2 linked regions of the Tribolium castaneum genome follow. The protein of the gene in region 1 purifies or fractionates together with the protein of each later gene. This does not show direct contact. Links are inferred from orthologs where the notes say so. Each region holds a gene or a part of one and is shown on either strand. Other genes may lie near its edges. The genes, in order: spas and Nup43.

The links.
Region 2: the proteins of spas (region 1) and Nup43 purify together in Homo sapiens (affinity purification with mass spectrometry; 3 studies listed by BioGRID and IntAct, counting the BioPlex papers as one, with this or other methods). This does not show direct contact. The link is inferred for Tribolium castaneum from reciprocal best matches to the Homo sapiens genes SPAST and NUP43.

Annotation. Positions count from the first base shown.
Region 1 is NC_087396.1:14,344,724-14,353,209, reverse strand, and holds spas (spastin), read right to left. Parts: upstream 4,603-8,486; coding exon 4,170-4,602; intron 4,121-4,169; coding exon 3,950-4,120; intron 3,879-3,949; coding exon 3,771-3,878; intron 2,378-3,770; coding exon 2,165-2,377; intron 2,114-2,164; coding exon 1,575-2,113; intron 1,529-1,574; coding exon 1,115-1,528; 3' UTR 774-1,114; downstream 1-773. Other genes in the region: nuclear pore complex protein Nup133, read left to right, coding at 4,828-5,027, 5,075-5,202, 5,249-5,787, 7,255-8,486. UniProt on the Homo sapiens protein: ATP-dependent microtubule severing protein that specifically recognizes and cuts microtubules that are polyglutamylated.
Region 2 is NC_087398.1:14,038,856-14,047,173, reverse strand, and holds Nup43 (nucleoporin Nup43), read left to right. Parts: upstream 1-2,695; 5' UTR 2,696-2,797; coding exon 2,798-3,019; intron 3,020-3,089; coding exon 3,090-3,558; intron 3,559-6,114; coding exon 6,115-6,473; 3' UTR 6,474-6,513; downstream 6,514-8,318. Other genes in the region: fand (pre-mRNA-splicing factor syf1 homolog), read left to right, coding at 6,813-6,866, 6,916-7,972. UniProt on the Homo sapiens protein: Component of the Nup107-160 subcomplex of the nuclear pore complex (NPC). The Nup107-160 subcomplex is required for the assembly of a functional NPC.

The sequences.
Region 1 (8,486 bases):
ATGCGACCTAGGGAACCACCGGGTATTTTCATTCATTTCAATTGATTTGAGGTGACAAGTATTGATTTTATGCTAGGGCGATGTGATTTTAGGTCTTTTTTTATAAAGATTGATGTTTTTTATTGGTTTGAGAGAAAAGTCAAAATATTTTTAGATACCGTAGTTGATAGACAACTTTCGAGTACAATTTTTTCGCGCTAAGGTTATTATTTCTATGCAAATATTCTATCTAGATCCATAGTTGTAAATGACTGCATGAAAGGATTTATGTGTTGTTAGCCGTTACTAAATTAGCATGTGGCCTTTTATAAAATAATATATTTAAGATGTTTATAACGATATCGAGTTGGTCGTTCTTACCAAACGCTGTTTCTTTTTTAACACTTTTCTCTCTGTTTATTTATTCTTTTTATAATCGAACAATCGGGGGTTAGTTGAAAAAGAGTGTACAGACATTATTTACGTATTTAGAAATTAAATGTGTGGCACTTGCTTTGAATGTGTTATTAAACAAAAACGAATGAGCATATTGTTAGTTAACTGATAAAAGAAAGTGTAAGTCTAGTGTTGTAACTCGAAATACATTCAATAATTAGCTGTAAGGATATATTTTTTATGTTTCATGATGGAAGGAAAGTGTACATACGGATATGGAGTTGATATTATGTCTTAGACAGTATTTTTTTATTGTACAGCTTTGCTTTGTCAATGATATTGATATAAATTACATTTCTTTAATTCACTCAAATGTTCATTTTTGCCAAACGCAAATCTTCTTTCAATTTACTTTTATTATACCAATAAGATTACAAACGTCATGGAAAAAGCAACGTCTGAATTGAGACACTTTTGTTACGGTCCAAGTGAACAACCACAAAACAATGTTAAATCAAGTAATAAAAAACGTGCTAGTAAACACAAACTCTAAAAACACTCCTAGTCTAACTACATTACTTCAATATTTTAATACGTCATTTCGGCTCAAATAAAAAGAGAAACTCCCTCCCTTTTGTACTAAAACAAGTCAACAAAATCAACAGGCAGCGAATTTTCAATCAAAAACACCATAATATCACAGATTAAAACGAAAGTCACCAAAGTAAAAGCGGAATGATTAAATAGACATATCTCCGTACTGCAACGACCACTTCTCGTACGCCACCAAGCTCTGCGGCGACACACTCCTCCTGATCCGTTTCAGCGAATCCAGAAAATCATTTATAGTGATGCTCCTCAGCGCACTGGGATCCATCTCCTTCACTTGCTCCGGCTGCAGCTCCCTGATTGGTCCCAGCGCGGCATCCTTGGCCAGAGCTGTTAAATCACTAGCCGAGTATCCTTCAGTAAGAGTGGCCAGTCGTTTCAGTTCCTGTTGCGTAAGTGAACAACCCTGTTTTGCCAACAACATCTTAAACAATCGAATTCGCGTTTCGAGATCGGGGAGCGTGACGTAGACGCGCTTCGGGAACCTTCGGAGAGCGGCTTCGTCCAGTTCCTGGGGGCGGTTGGTCGCCGCCATCACCACGACCTTCAAACCATCGATAAAAAAATAACACAATGAAACACTGTCTCACCCGCTCGCTGTCGGGGTTACTCGGCAGTCCGTCGAACTCGACCAGAAATTCGGTCTTCAACCTGCGGCTAGCCTCATGCTCGTTGTTGGAGCGTTCGGAGAGGAGCGAATCGACTTCGTCGATGAAAATAATCGACGGTTGCAACTCCCGGGCGATTGCGAACAAAGCCCGCACCATTTTCTCCCCTTCGCCCACGTACTTCGAAGTGAGACTGGCGGCACTGATTGAGAAAAACGTCGCCCGACATTCGGTGGCCACAGCCCTCGCTAGCAACGTCTTCCCGTTGCCTGGGGGCCCGAACAGGAGCAGCCCCCGCGCGGGGGTGCGCAGCCCCGTGAACAGTTCAGGCCGCAGCGACGGCAAGATCACCATTTCTTGCAGCGCTTGTTTGGCGGCGTCTTGACCGATGATGTCCTCCCATTGCACCTGGAGGCCGCCTTCGACGATCTCGTCAAGGATGCATTGAGCTAGTTTTGTGTCGACGCCTCGTAAATTGGGTGATTTGCCGCCCCGTGACGTCGATTTACTCGGAGTTGCTACTGTTGGAGGAACGAGTCAATAGTTATCGGACTTTCGATCGGGTTTATTACGTGAGGCTGTTGTTTTGCGAGCGGGAGAACCGGCGGTGCCCGGCACCGAGAGTTGCTTTTTGACGGCAGGAGGAGTCGACGAGAGCTTGTTAAAAGGGCGGACGGGCTGAATAGGGGCTGTCCGGGAACCCATCGAACGGGGCAAGGTTTGGCTTTTGGCCAGGGTCGCGTTCGGGGGGCGCTTACTGGCCACGGAGAGTTTCTTGCCGGAAGCTAGGAACAAAGAGAAATAGTGACACGCAGTTGGTGGCTCACAAACAAAAATATACACAGGGGTGATGAAAAAGTAGAACTCATTGTTTTTAAAAATAATAATAATTAAAATTAAAATATAAATTTCTTTCAATCAAAGAATCGGAATCAGGTTACGCAGTTTTTACACAGTGGCGAATATAAACCCTTATTAAATATAAAAGGAAACATTTTCTTCAACTTTAAAACAATACAAACCTAGAGAGAGGAAGCATAGAGGCCGAAAATGCGGATTATCATCAACATTTAAACTAAACAGAAATAATGGTCCTATAAATAATTAACATATTGAGCACCATGACACAGAACAAATTAATATAAAAATTGTACTATATTAATTAATTAATTAAATTAAATTAAATTTGCTACAAAAACGACGGTGACGGTGTACAAATTTAAGATGTTTTTCAAAAATTCTTGAACGTCTTTTAGAGCCTGAACCGTTAAAGACAGTAGTGTTATTCTGTCGTTGACTTGAAAATTTAGTTCTCTATATTTGTTTTTTTATATAGATATTTTTATGAGGTGTACCGTTTTCGCAGCGTTTTTAAAAAAGAAGATATTTACAAGGTTTTCATTTACTTTGCTCTACTTTGAACCCTTCTGTCTTAACATATCGTTAAAAGTATGCTTCTCTACGTGAATGCAATTTTATTAAATTTTATTACTGTTGAATAAATTAAACAAAGTTGAGACTTGGAGTGGGTTCTTGATCACTAGCTGGTTTACTTGTCTGTAGGACTTTGCATAAACAATTCTCTTATTTTGAACTATGTACTCAAAAAAAGTCAAAAAAGAATCGTATGGTCTCAAGTTACGAAAAAATACATACCTATTGTAATTATAATAATCACATTTTAGTTCAATATAATTTCACTTTTATAAACATAATAAAACTGCATCTAAGATAATAAAATAATTTTATCATTATTTAGACTGTTATAGTATAAAAAATTTTGGTAATTGCAGCAAATATACACTTAGGTATGCACTATCCAAATTTGTATGTGATTCAGGATAAGACTTCTGTACCCACTGGCGAATGAGATGTTTTAAAATTTGCTATTTACTTTACCAATTTGCAAACAAGAGACAAAGGTTTTTGAAGAATCAAGGTTAGATTCGCCACTGTCTGAATCATAAAAGCGATAAACTCATAATCTAGTTGTTAATTGAGGCTTGAGGCTGTTACTGCTCAAAATACTGTGTCGATAATGATTGCTGGGATTACATAATCTATGAGTTAATTACTAGGGATTATGGTAAGAAATCGAGCAACGCGTTCTACTATTAGAAGCCGATGTACTACGAGTTACACCAATGGAAGCTGAAATACTGAAAATAAGAAGAATACCTTTGTTAAAACAAAGTTTGGGAGTAGGAATATTGGTAGTGTAGCTAAGTTTAGGAGCCTCTTTTGGTTCTTTTTGAACATCCTGTCGATGTAACATATCCATGCTTTCTATAAACAGAAACAACAACAAAGACGTAAATACCAAACCAAAATGAGCAAATCAATCCAGTCCAAATTACCCAAAAACTGCAGCCTGTCCTTGGCCATGGCAAGATTGGTTTTCATTTTTTCGTGGAGGCGCTGGGCCCGCTCCCACACCTCGCCCCGGCCGCCCCAGCACTGCACCGCGATCCCCAGTTCCAGCTCCGTGATGCCTTTCCTATACAACTCGATGGCCAAGTCCTTCTGACCTAGAAACGACCATCAATTATTCACCGTGCCTCCAGACCGGGCACCGACCTTCGTTCTCTTCATCGATCTTGAGCGCCTTGGAGATGTACTCGAAGGCGCGGCGGTGGTGGTGCTTCTGCTTGGCCAGAAGGGGGTCCCCGGGCCCCGGCCCTGTGACCCTCTGGACGTGCGTCATTTCGGTGATCTCTTCAATGACACAAGTCGCAACTTGTTGGTCACTCTCACCACATTCAAACTGACGTTTCTTTACTAGGTAATTTGAGGAACTACAATACACGAAACGAAGGATAACAAAGATTTGGTAGAGCAAAGTGCGCAAAATGTTGAACAGAAAAATAATCGGGAAGGAAACGATGCATAGGTTTCGCTTGTGGACAGAGGTCTCTGAGTACGACGTAAACATCACATCGCTTCTCGAAATGTCGGGGTCACTTTTTCTTGATTTTTTGCCAGGTGATTTCGTTTGGGTTTTACGCACCATCCGGATGCCATCACACTCACGCTGTTACAGGGCTGCCAACTTTTTTTTTCATAATATTCAGCCACTTCGTTCCACAACGGAACATCGAGGAGTAAAAAATCACCGGAACCAAATATGATAACAACCAGGTGTTTCTCAGTCTCGTAAATAGATAAAACCTGTGATAAAACAAAAAATCACGCTGCTTTCCGGATAGGATTCCATGAACATAGAACCACATGCTACATGTGCAATGCGCGCATGTCATCTGTATCTGACATAAGTGGTCAACATTGTTATTACTTTTTAAATTTGAATATTTGTAATAAAGTCAGAATGGATAGAAGCTTCAACTCATCTTTCTCCACCAGAAGCCCGTTTTCTCCCCGTTCTCGGCAAAATCTCAACGCCAAGAAAATCATTCCGCCTAATTTCCGAAAATCATCGTAAGTTGACGATTCTAACCTCACTCTCATACTTACCGGTCTTTTAGCCGTTTCAGTGTCTCAGGAAAATCAACCCAATCGGTACAAATAATACTATCAACACCTTACAACTACGTTGAACGTTTCGGCCAAACCTTCCCCGTCCTAATAACAGAAGCCCTCACATTTGCCGACAGTAAGCCACCACTATAATTTCCCACGAATTTATTTTTTTCTTTAAGGAAACACCGTGGTATCGGCCCGAATCTCGAAACTGGGCTACCTGTGGGTGGTCTGCGGCCGCCGCTTGCTGATCTGGCAGTACCGCCAAAGCCCCGTGTTGCTCGACACCCCCTCGAAAAAGACAAGTTTACTAAACCAGTGCTTTGAACTGCAACTCCCGCAAAGCGACTTGGCGCACAGAGCTGAACTGGTCTCGGTTTTCGTCAATTCAGACTCGAACACACCTTCTTGTATCGCAGTCTCGCCGGAAGGTGTGGTGCGCTACTGGCCGGCAATTGTCCATGAAGGAATCTCCGTGGAACAGCACGTCAGTCTACAAGGCCAGGAATGCGACAGTTTGACCGATGTCGAGGGCCTTGGGTGCATTCTGGCCACCACAACGTGCACCGTTTTGTTGCTCCAGCCACAGCTAAGTGGCGGGAGGCACAGTTTGAAATGCAAAACACTTAAAATACCAACTGGGTGGTTGGGGGGCATTAGCAAGAGAATGTCGAGTCTGATTTTTGGGCCAATCGCGAGCGAAACCTCGGCCGAAAGTGTGAGTAGTTCTGGGCCTGAGAGCGAAAACAGCCTAAGTGCATTTTTACCAAAAAATTAATTATCATTAAAAGTGATATTGAACAAGCTTTTTGTTTAAAACAAAGTATTAAGTCAAATTTTTTAAAACACAGTGTCTATGTGGGAAAATAATTTTAATTTTTTCACCTGTGACGACAGCAAATTTTATTAGAAATTAATTAGAACCTTTTTTAAGGTATATTGAAATTGAAGACTCTTTGGACTTTGGTGTCATCACCTCCTGTTGCAAGAAAAAAATGTGCAGTTGGAAGCCAATTTAAATTAACTAGTTCACAGTGTTTTGTTTTTTACCAATACATGAAGCCAATGTGTGACGTCAAGTTTTTTGCAACAACTAAAATGTTACAGACTGCTTTTTTTGTACTATCAGGGTCAGTTTATCCTTATGTAGTAAACGATTAACATATTTTTATCCCAAAAACCTTAATACGTCTCTTCATAAGACTTTAAATCTTGATGGATATGTTCACGATGTTCATTGCTTAAGCTTCCCAGGTTTTGTTAGGATAATAATTAAACACAAACATAGAAATTTACATTCACCTGATGATGTTTTAAAGCAAATAAAATATTTATCAATTTGTTAGTTACGTCAATAACGAATGCCAAAGACACCAAAGATAAGACTGATTAAAAAAATAAATAAAAATGACATATTGTTTCTTTTTTTGCATTGTTTAGTGTCAGTTTCTTTTATTGTAACCAGCAGTAAATCTTTGGTATACCTCTTTTCATAAGACTTTAAATCTTGATGAAAGCGTTTACCATTTGATCGCTTAAGTTTCCCAGGTTTTATTAGGATAATTTTCTCACAAACAAATCAAATGTTATTTGGGCTTAATCGACATTCACTTGACTATACTTTAAAGCAAATAAAATGTTTAATTATTTAGTTATTACAGAAACAAGGAATGTCAAACTAGACACCGGATACGAATTTTCAAAACTTCTAGTGAATATATTAAAAAAAACTAGACGTGATAACAAATGTGACATATATCTTAGTTATCATTGAGAAACAGTACACAAAATCAGTATAAATTATCTCTTAGTAAAAGAAAAAAATTTGTAAACTAGTGGTACCAGAAGTTGTTTGGTTTCAGTTAAGAAAAGCAGAGATAGGAAAAATATATTTTCAAACAACTTTCACAGAAAACTTTAAATGTGTTACTATTACAGAAACCTTCCTTATCTTCAAAATACTGAAGATTTTCGAAAGACTTTCTTATGTAATAAATATATTTAAATTGTTTTAAAAAAACTTTCATTACAAGTTACACCTTGGATTCATTTTATTTAACTTTTTACATATTGAAAAAAACATTGGTTACTAAATGAGAATTTTCGTTTTAAATTGGCATTTTGGACTTAGGCTGTTCTCGCACTCTAATTATTGATTCAATAGTGATTAAAAAAATTCAAACAGGGAATAGTGCGCGTTCTGAGCGTCCCTGGTACAACTAGCGACACCTGGACGGTGTACGTTTTAGCCGACCACAATTTGCAAAAGTGGCAATTGTCCAAAAACGACGAAGAGTTGATATTTGTCACCGAATTGAACCGAATAGTCAGAGATAGTTTCTGTGGTGCCCTGTGGGAGAATTGTGTCGGAGACCAAACCGAAATTGATACCTGGTTACTTGACATACAGTCAGATAAAGACAATGTTATAATACTCGCAGCAGCGGTTAATATTCCTCGGGTACATTACGCGATGATAAGTCTACAGACGAACACAAATCAACCTCCAACAGCCGTTAAAGATTTTCTTTTGTTGAAAATTACGGACTTGTATCGGGAAAACAATCCGGGGGATTCCCTATCGTATCGTTTTCTTTTATGCGGCATTAATGCCTACTTATACAACCAGAAACATATCACCGTTATCAAGCCCCAAGAAGAGCCTGATATTTTAGAGTTCAACACACCTCAAGATTTTTTATTAGCGGGTGCGATCTGTGTCAACACACCTATATTTTTCTCGCGCAATCATGGCTTAGTCGCAGTGGCGAGCAATGATATGTCTAATGACTTAAACCTAAGTCTCACAGGCGCTAACAGTTTCGTGGAGACGTCGTTTAATGATAACGTGGTGGTTAATAACCTGTCCATTTACAACATGGACCCTGAGGAGATTTCCATTGCTTACAAAGACACAGTTAGTCAATTAAAGGCCGCTTTTATCTACCGGATACAAAACCAGGAGCAAGCCTGCAAGGAAATCATCGACGAGTTGTTCCCTCCTGACGCGTCCAAACTCCCAGGAATCGACTCATTACTGGATAAAGTCGTAATAATGATGGGCAAGGACTTAATCGATGACACCCCAGCCGGTGATCCCAGATGGTCAAAGGACCATCAAGTCGGGCTTGGCAGCTCACACTCGATGCAAGTCCTCGACCAATTAAAAAACAAACAAAAAGCACTCTCACTATTCATAAAATTCCTCAAAGAGTCAGGACTGTGGGCGCAATTGTCCGCATCCACAATTCGCAACACCACCACCGCAACAACGTACATCATGGGCGAAATATCGGAGAAAATCATAGCCGCGATCAGTCTCAAAACTGTCGCCTATAATCAAGTTCTGGAAAAAGCCATCGAAAAAGCGACGGCTGAGTCGGAAACCAAGCCGGAAAACGGGCTAACGTACCAGGA
Region 2 (8,318 bases), on another chromosome or scaffold:
GGCTTTCGGCAACTCGCTACACTTCTTCGCTCTTATTTACATAACCTAGAATAAAACCCTTTCTGTTAGCTCTACACATGTTTGGAGCGACTGACTTGGAAAACATCGTCGTAGCAAGGGGTTTTACTCACCGTCTAGCTTAATTTTCATTGGAAAAGCTCATTATTGATGAAAAATCAGCATTATCGATAGTAGAGAATGCATCACATTCACAACACTTCCACTGTATTTATAATATTTGCCGTTGGGGGCGCTGATGTTAATGTAACTTGACTGGAGTTCAGCGTTTGGTGTAGGGGAGAGGAAGGAAAAGTGGGTCACATGGTTTTTTCTTGAAACTTTACGTCACGGCTTCACATCGTGTCTGACGTAGGTATCACGTGACACAACCTTTGAAAAAGTCCCCAGTTGTTACTGCATATACTTGATTTTAATAATATTTATTTAGTTATAAATTGCATATGCCTTAGAATTAAAATTAAAAGAAAATTTAAGAATTCTGTGTTATAATTTATAATGATCCGAGGGATAAACAGCAGATCTAAACTTAAACACCATACTTCCTGTACCTTGTGCAAACGCCTTAGCTTTTATACCTCTGCTGTTAGCTACCCTTATTTCAAAATTTTAAATGAAATCCCCTACGTTTTGTAACAGTTTTGAAAACTTGCAAAAAACCTTATCAAACCGTGAAAAAAGATTATCGATTCGTTTATATATTGGGGGATGTTTTATTTTTGCAATTTTGAACTCTAATAGTAGTACTACATATCTGATTTAGAGTCAATTTAATTTAAACAAAAAACTAGTGGGTTACTGTGAAGGGAAATTTCAAAACAAACTCCAAGTACCTACTCGTCAAAAACTACCCTTAATCGATATGCTCCTTTGTTAAATTAAATTGGTTTAAGAATTAAACGTTTTAGGTTTAGGTTTTTAAAATAAAACCACTCCTAACTCAAAAACGAAATATAAATCTTCAGTTTGTTTTATTTACACAAGAGCATTAGAAATCAGGTGACATGCGTCTTAACTTTTGGGCTTGCGCAGTGGTGTAAATTTATAGATAAAGGTAAACTCCCAGTACATCCCCGAAATCCCTGTAAATCCTTAAACTTGCACACCATACATCCACAGCTGTTTACAGGTCGTAATGGTTATAAAATAATATAATCAATTTTTATGTAATGTAGAGTCACAAAATATGTATTATTACAAAAAATCATCGATAAACACTTTCTCATGTTTTTTAACAGTAGGTATAGAGAGAATTATTATTGTAAAAATAGTAAGTCCTGTTAGCCTTTTTCAATATTATGTTTTCGCCTAAGATTCCGCATCCAATACCCTTTATGCTTCGTCCTAAACTGACAAACATTATTTTCTTCCAAGCGAAATTGTGGAGATATACTAAAGTAATATTTCATGACAACAATGCAATGGGGCCAGAAAATGATTAGTCTGCAGTAAAAAAGATGTTTATTGCTCACTTCGTCTCACTTTTCAGAACAGATGTTACCATGAGCAGACATGGGGCCTAAGCTGAAGCAAGCCCAAAGAAACCCTAACTTGCGAATCATTTTCTGTCGTCAACTGCACTGTTATAAAATATTACTTTAGTCAATCTTAACTACTCTGCTTGGAAGATAATACAAAATAACTATTTAATATTATTATTGGTTTTAAAATGAGATTTGTGACATACAATAAGGGCCTTACGTTTCACCAAATTATTCTATAAAGTTAAGTGAAACATTTAAACCTGTTCTGATATGTAATGTTCTAAAAACATGTTTTTAAACAGCGTCTTGAAAATAGTCTGTGCAACAGACATTTAATGAGGTTGAAAGTATATGGTGGTGCAGTGTGTGATCTTTTAAATCGCCGGCTTTATTTTTTGCATCATATGAACATTCGCGACATTTAAATATATATTGTTTACAGTACTGAAATAACCATGTCTGTTACTAATAGCAAGTTTTAGAAACACTAATACAAAAAACGTCTCTAAATTGCAACTAACGCAAGCTGTGAATGGAATCACACATTTGATTCAAAGGCACATGTTTAATGTGTGTATAGTGTATCTTATTCAATGGTGTCCCTTTAAATGTAGAAACTGGTTCGTCTCAAAGGAATAATCACGACATTTGTGCTCCTCAAGGGGCTGCTACAACACTAAACTGGCTTAGTGTCTTCCTCAGGCAACAGCTGTTTAATCATTTTCGTCTTCGATTTTTTTATCAATCTGAAAAATTTCTAGGTTAAAAAAGTTGTAAATTGTTTTAGTTTTACTGACCTGTTCCATTTCTTGGCTTTGGGAGAGCTTATCACATACTTTATTTTGTATTTATTACTAAATTCGTCTAATTGCCTTTCATGTAGGGGGGCTTTATAAAGGCCAGTTCTGTTGTTGAAATTTCATGACTGACATCTAGTGGAAAACATTACTGTCAGTGAACAGGTTGCCATGAACGTACACCTACTTCCGTTTCTATAAAATAAACCCCCCACATAAAAAAATCTGTTTTAAATAGTTATTTTATTTTTAAACATAAACTTATTACAGTTCAGCCGTAACAATATTTTCTAAACATTAATCATGTATTCTTATAACGTACTTCTGGCTTAAAAAAATGTAGAGTCGTTAAGCAATTTGTCTTATAGATTTGATACGGAGTATACTCCACCGCACGTATAGTGGGTTGCCTGACAATTATTCAATTATGCTTTCAACGACACAGTGAGGTTATAGCGCCACTTTTTTAATTTTTATGGGCTTAATTATACACAAAATATGGCCCACAACATTCATGGAACATTTGTTTCTGAAAAAGTTAATAAAATCCGTTGGAGGCCCGATTTTATGAATGCCTCGCATTATTTTGTAACCGGCAGTTGGGACAATGACCAAAACAGCATCAAACTTTGGGATTTCCAAGAAAATGAAGAAGATGCCGAAGTTTATCCATTTCTGGTGGCTGAATTTCCACACAACGGGGACATAACTGAAGTTAAAGTATGTATATTACAATCAGTATTGCGATACGAGCCACGTAGCGAGTGAAACAATTTTTGTCATTTTTTAGTTCTTAAACGGCGATTTTTTCGTTGCTTCTTCGTCGTCGGGCTGCGTCAGTCTGCTGAAGATTACTTCCGAACATGGAATTGATCCCTTAATTGAGAGAAAAATTTACTGGGAGGGAGTTCACAAATTTCCCAATGGGGAGAATTGCCCTTGCACTGCCTTTTGCACCTACGACAACGATATTGTGAGCGTTGGCGAAGACGGTTCTATCAATTTGTTAAATGCCCAAAACCAAAACGTTATCCGCACAATTGAAAACGCCGATAGTTGCTCAATTCGTTGTGTGGCTTTTCTGAAGCATAGCGAAATTTTGACCGGTAATTTTCGTGGACAATTGAAGATTTTCGATATTCGGGCCCCTAAAAGCCAACCCGCGACCACTTTCATGTTGAGTGGGGATCAAATCTCGCCATTGTGTCTCCAAAACCACCCTACACAGAGGCATTTGGTGGTAGCTGGCGATGAAGAAGGTACCTATTTTTTTTTTATTTATGTTGGCAAACGCCAAAAATGGTGCCAACTTAAAGGTATTGGCAACTTTCTTTTAAATGATACCAAAATAGTTATTTACATTATACGTGCGGTAGGTATAATTTTACAGCGTGAAGTTTTAATAAAATTGAACGCTGTAAAATGAGTCGTCTAGTTCCAAAACCTGCCGTCTCTATTCAGTATTTTTGTTTAATGTTTAATACAAATGCTGTTGAACAAATAAATTTTAAATTACACTGATATAAAACCTCTTAGAGAGTAGAATTCGATGACCTATACTTTAATTACAATGTTTGAATTTAAAGCCTGCATTTTTTTTAAGGTTGGAGGTGGCAAGTTTTGGAACAAGTTGGAGAGGAGATGGGCGGTTATGGAACAAAATGTCTTTTAAAAATCCTTTTTTTAAGACTAGATAGTGAAATGGAATAAAAAAACTCAAACTACGTATTTGCTGAAATAACATGTGGCTAAAGTTTTAAGTCTTTTAAGGCAAACACATAACTCCAAAAAACAACGCGGAGATAGTTGATTTTGGAACGCATATATAAGATTACTTTACGTAAAGAAATGACATTGATATTTCAAACTTTAATGCAGTTGATGTTAATAACTATTTTTTGTTAGTATTTAGTCCGCCAGATAATTGTGCTAAATCCACATTATCATTAGTACGCAAAAAAATCAACGATAATGGTTCCTTTCGTCTTCAGCTTGCTGCTGTTGATGAAGTTTATGAAATAGTTATAGTGTTGACGAAAATATTTTTATTTTTGATGTTGTGTATAGTTCTGCGTAACTGGCTATGTCTATACCATAAACCAATGAAAACTTCCACAAAACCGCATCAATTATTTTGGGCATCTTCTTAGTACCTGCAAGAGGCTCATTATCTTTTAGGATTCCTTCTTGTAAACAACAATGATCAAAATAATAACTGCAATTGTGGGGTAAGTTTTTGTTGGTTTGCGGTTGACATAGCAAGTAATGTGAGAACTATAAGTATATACCCTATATATACTCAAAATTGACGCCCATGCTTTTAGGATTTGCTTCAGAAGACTAAAACAAATCGAAAGTTAAGAGTGAAAAATTGTCCAATTGTCCTTCGTTATCGAGTTATTGATAAGTATCTAAAATTTAAAATTTGTACATTAAATTTTATTAAAAGCGAATTTACCAAATTTGTTGTCACAAAGTATGCTATAATGCGATTTGGAAACTTTTCCGTGTAGGCCCTAGTCTCAGCAGTGGCATTGCCATCATACAAACATCTTACTTATAACCGAGCTTTTAACATATCGTCAAAATTTCGAATACACTAATAAAGTGGTATCTTATCATTTAACACATACAAAAACGAAGGAAATTAATAATACTCTTTACTAGACACAGTTATTCAAAGAATTTTAATATCGCTAACATCAACTAATCAATTATGTTGCACAAATAATTGGAAAGACAGCTAAAGCTTATTATTTACATTTTTATCAATAACTCTAAAACGAACAATTGGAAAATTTTTTACTCTTAACTTTCGATTTGTATTAATACCCTAAATCAAACTGCCATAGCACAGGCGTCAATTTTGAGACTTTTACTTGTTAGAACGTAATCTATTCAACATTTTTCAAACGAGCGTAAATGGTTGGCTTGGTTAAACGAAACTGATCGAAGAAATTTACATCACTAACAATTTCAAAATAATTTTTCTTTTTCTATAAATTTTTTGTCTTCGCAGTTCGGAAGAAGATAATGAATTAGAAGAAAAAATGAACACTTTCTTAATTTTGTGCAATTCAAAAAACTGACAAATTTAACGTTTGTTAAAGTTGCTTTTGTAATTTGCCGCCGTCTTTACGTCTTTACCTAATCATTATTTGACGAAATATTTTACGAAAATTTTTAGGTTGAAACGCATTTTAAAAATTGAAGTCACTTTTAAAAGTTTAAGTTACTTTAAAATGATTTATGAAACGATCCTACTTCAAGTTATTTCGATATAAATTTGGGATTATGACGTCATAACCGTCTCTCGAGCATTATTTGGTCCAATTTTAAGATCAAATAGTTTTTGATCACTGCCAAAGAATATCGAAATGAAGACACAATTTCTGAGATATTTTCGCAAAGTGCAAGACAAAATTTAGAACAGGTAGGAGTTTGGAAAGTAGTTATTTTTTTGATTTTGTAGAAGATATGTGAAAAATATGTGATTAATAAAAGGTTTCTGTGATGAGAGGCGGTTGTGACGTTAAGGCTTCACTTATTTTTTGCTGCAGAAAATTTTGAAAAAAGTCTCTATAGTTCCAATTTCCGTTAAAAGATAAATTAGGTAAAATACAATGTGTTCAAAAATGGTGGTTCATCAAGTTAACTATTTTAAATTTAAATTAAGCGGCACATTACGTTCAAATTTCATATGTGACTTGATGAACGAAGTTTTTTGAGCACATTTTATAAGTTGCCACTGCCTTCAATTTTAGTCATAGACCACTCTGATCAGAATTCGAAATATGTTATTTACTCCGTTTCAGGTTCGATAACGATATGGGATTTGCGCCAAAACACATATCCTGTGAATGTGTTGGATGCTCATGAGGGAGGCGTTATGGAAATACACTTCCATCCAGATCATCCTGACCAGCTATTCACTTGTTCCACTGATGGGGATGTTTGGCATTGGTCGCCTAAATGTGGCAGTGCCTCTAGTTTGCTGAATGGGGAGAATGTTTGGTTGGCATCCGAGGCTATCAAAAATAAGTTGGATGTTTTTACGCTCATGCCTAAATTGCACAAACCAATCAATAGTCTGGATGTTAACAGAAATAAGGTTCTTTGTGGGTGCGATAACGAGGCGGTTTATTTAATCAATGGAGTTAATGTTTTTAAGTAATTGTTTTGTACAAAGTTTCTAATAAAAAGTTGAACCACTATTTGGTTGTTGGCATATACGTGATAGCTGGAGGTCGTTATAATGGGTTCGTTATAACCAGACTCTACTGTATTATATCTTTGTTGATCATATCATCAGCATTTTACTAAGGTGTTTTAGGTTAAAACTTAGAAATAAGAGCAATATATACTACCACTTGTTAAAAAACACCACAATTTCACATTTTGTATATTTTTAATTTCGCATTTGTTGGAATTCGCTTTTGACCGACAATAATAACTAACCTCATCTACTTAACCTAACATTTCTCAACGTTATATTTTCGTTCAAAGCGCCGCAATGCCTGTCTCTAGCGATGTTGTTCGTAAAGAAACCCCCATGGAAATTATATTTGTACGTATCCCGTTTCAAAATTAGTCCAAAATAACTGCGAAAATTCCAGACAGACGAAGACCTCCCTTACGAAGAAGAGATCCTCCGCAACCCCTACTCTGTGAAGCACTGGCTGCGCTACATTGAGCACAAGAAGAAGGCCCCGAAGCACGGCGTTAACATAATTTACGAGCGGGCCCTTAAAGAGCTCCCCGGCTCTTACAAACTTTGGTACAACTACTTACGCACTCGCCGCCTCCAGGTGAAAAACCGCTGCATCACAGACCCCGCATTCGAGGAAGTCAACAACGCTTTTGAGCGCTCCCTTGTTTTCATGCACAAAATGCCGCGAATTTGGATGGATTATTGCAGTTTCCTGACCGATCAGTGCAAGATAACGCGGACTCGGAAGGTTTTCGACCGGGCTTTGAGGGCGCTCCCGGTGACCCAACACCACCGGATTTGGCCCCTTTACCTCACATTCGTCAAAAAGCACGACATTTCCGAGACCGCTGTGCGCATTTTTCGCCGGTATTTGAAGCTCAGTCCGGAGAATGCGGAGGAATACGTTGAGTATTTGACCGAAGTTGGGCGTTTGGACGAAGCCGCCGTTGTGTTGGCTAAGATTGTCAATGATGAGAATTTCGTGTCACAGCACGGGAAGTCCAAACACCAGCTCTGGAACGAGTTGTGCGAGTTGATTTCGAAAAATCCCGAAGAGGTGCATTCGTTGAATGTTGATGCGATTATCAGGGGCGGCTTGAGGCGGTACACTGATCAGTTGGGGCATTTGTGGAACTCTCTGGCTACGTATTATGTCAGGAGCGGGTTGTTTGAACGGGCGCGGGATATTTACGAGGAGGCGATTCAGACGGTTACAACTGTGCGGGATTTTACGCAAGTCTTTGACGCCTATGCACAGTTTGAGGAGTTGACGTTGAGTAAACGGATGGAGGAGGTGGCGCAAAAGCCCAATCAGACTGAAGATGATGATATTGAGTTGGAGTTGAGGCTGGCGAGGTTTGAGAATTTGATGGAGAGGAGGCTGTTGCTGTTGAATTCGGTTCTCTTGAGGCAGAATCCGCATAATGTGCAGGAGTGGCACAAGCGAGTGCAGCTGTATGAAGGTACGTTTGTAAATTAATATCATACAATTTTACTCGTATTTATTACTAAAATATCGGAAATTTTACCTTGTAAAAGTTGTACGATTTATGGTCACTTGTCTTTGAAAGTAATAGAAATTTAATTGTATTTTTCTCAATTTTTATGAATCGAAGATCGTCGATGTCACATGCAATTGTAAGCAGTTTAAAACTTGCATATATATCGGGCACTTGCTCATCTACCATTATTTATCTACTGCCTGTTTTATTGTAAAAAAAACCTATACGGACTCTTCAAATACATACAGGGCGTCTCAAAAATGGCGAATTCCGAGTTTATAGCATTGTAGAGAATCACTTCAGTAGT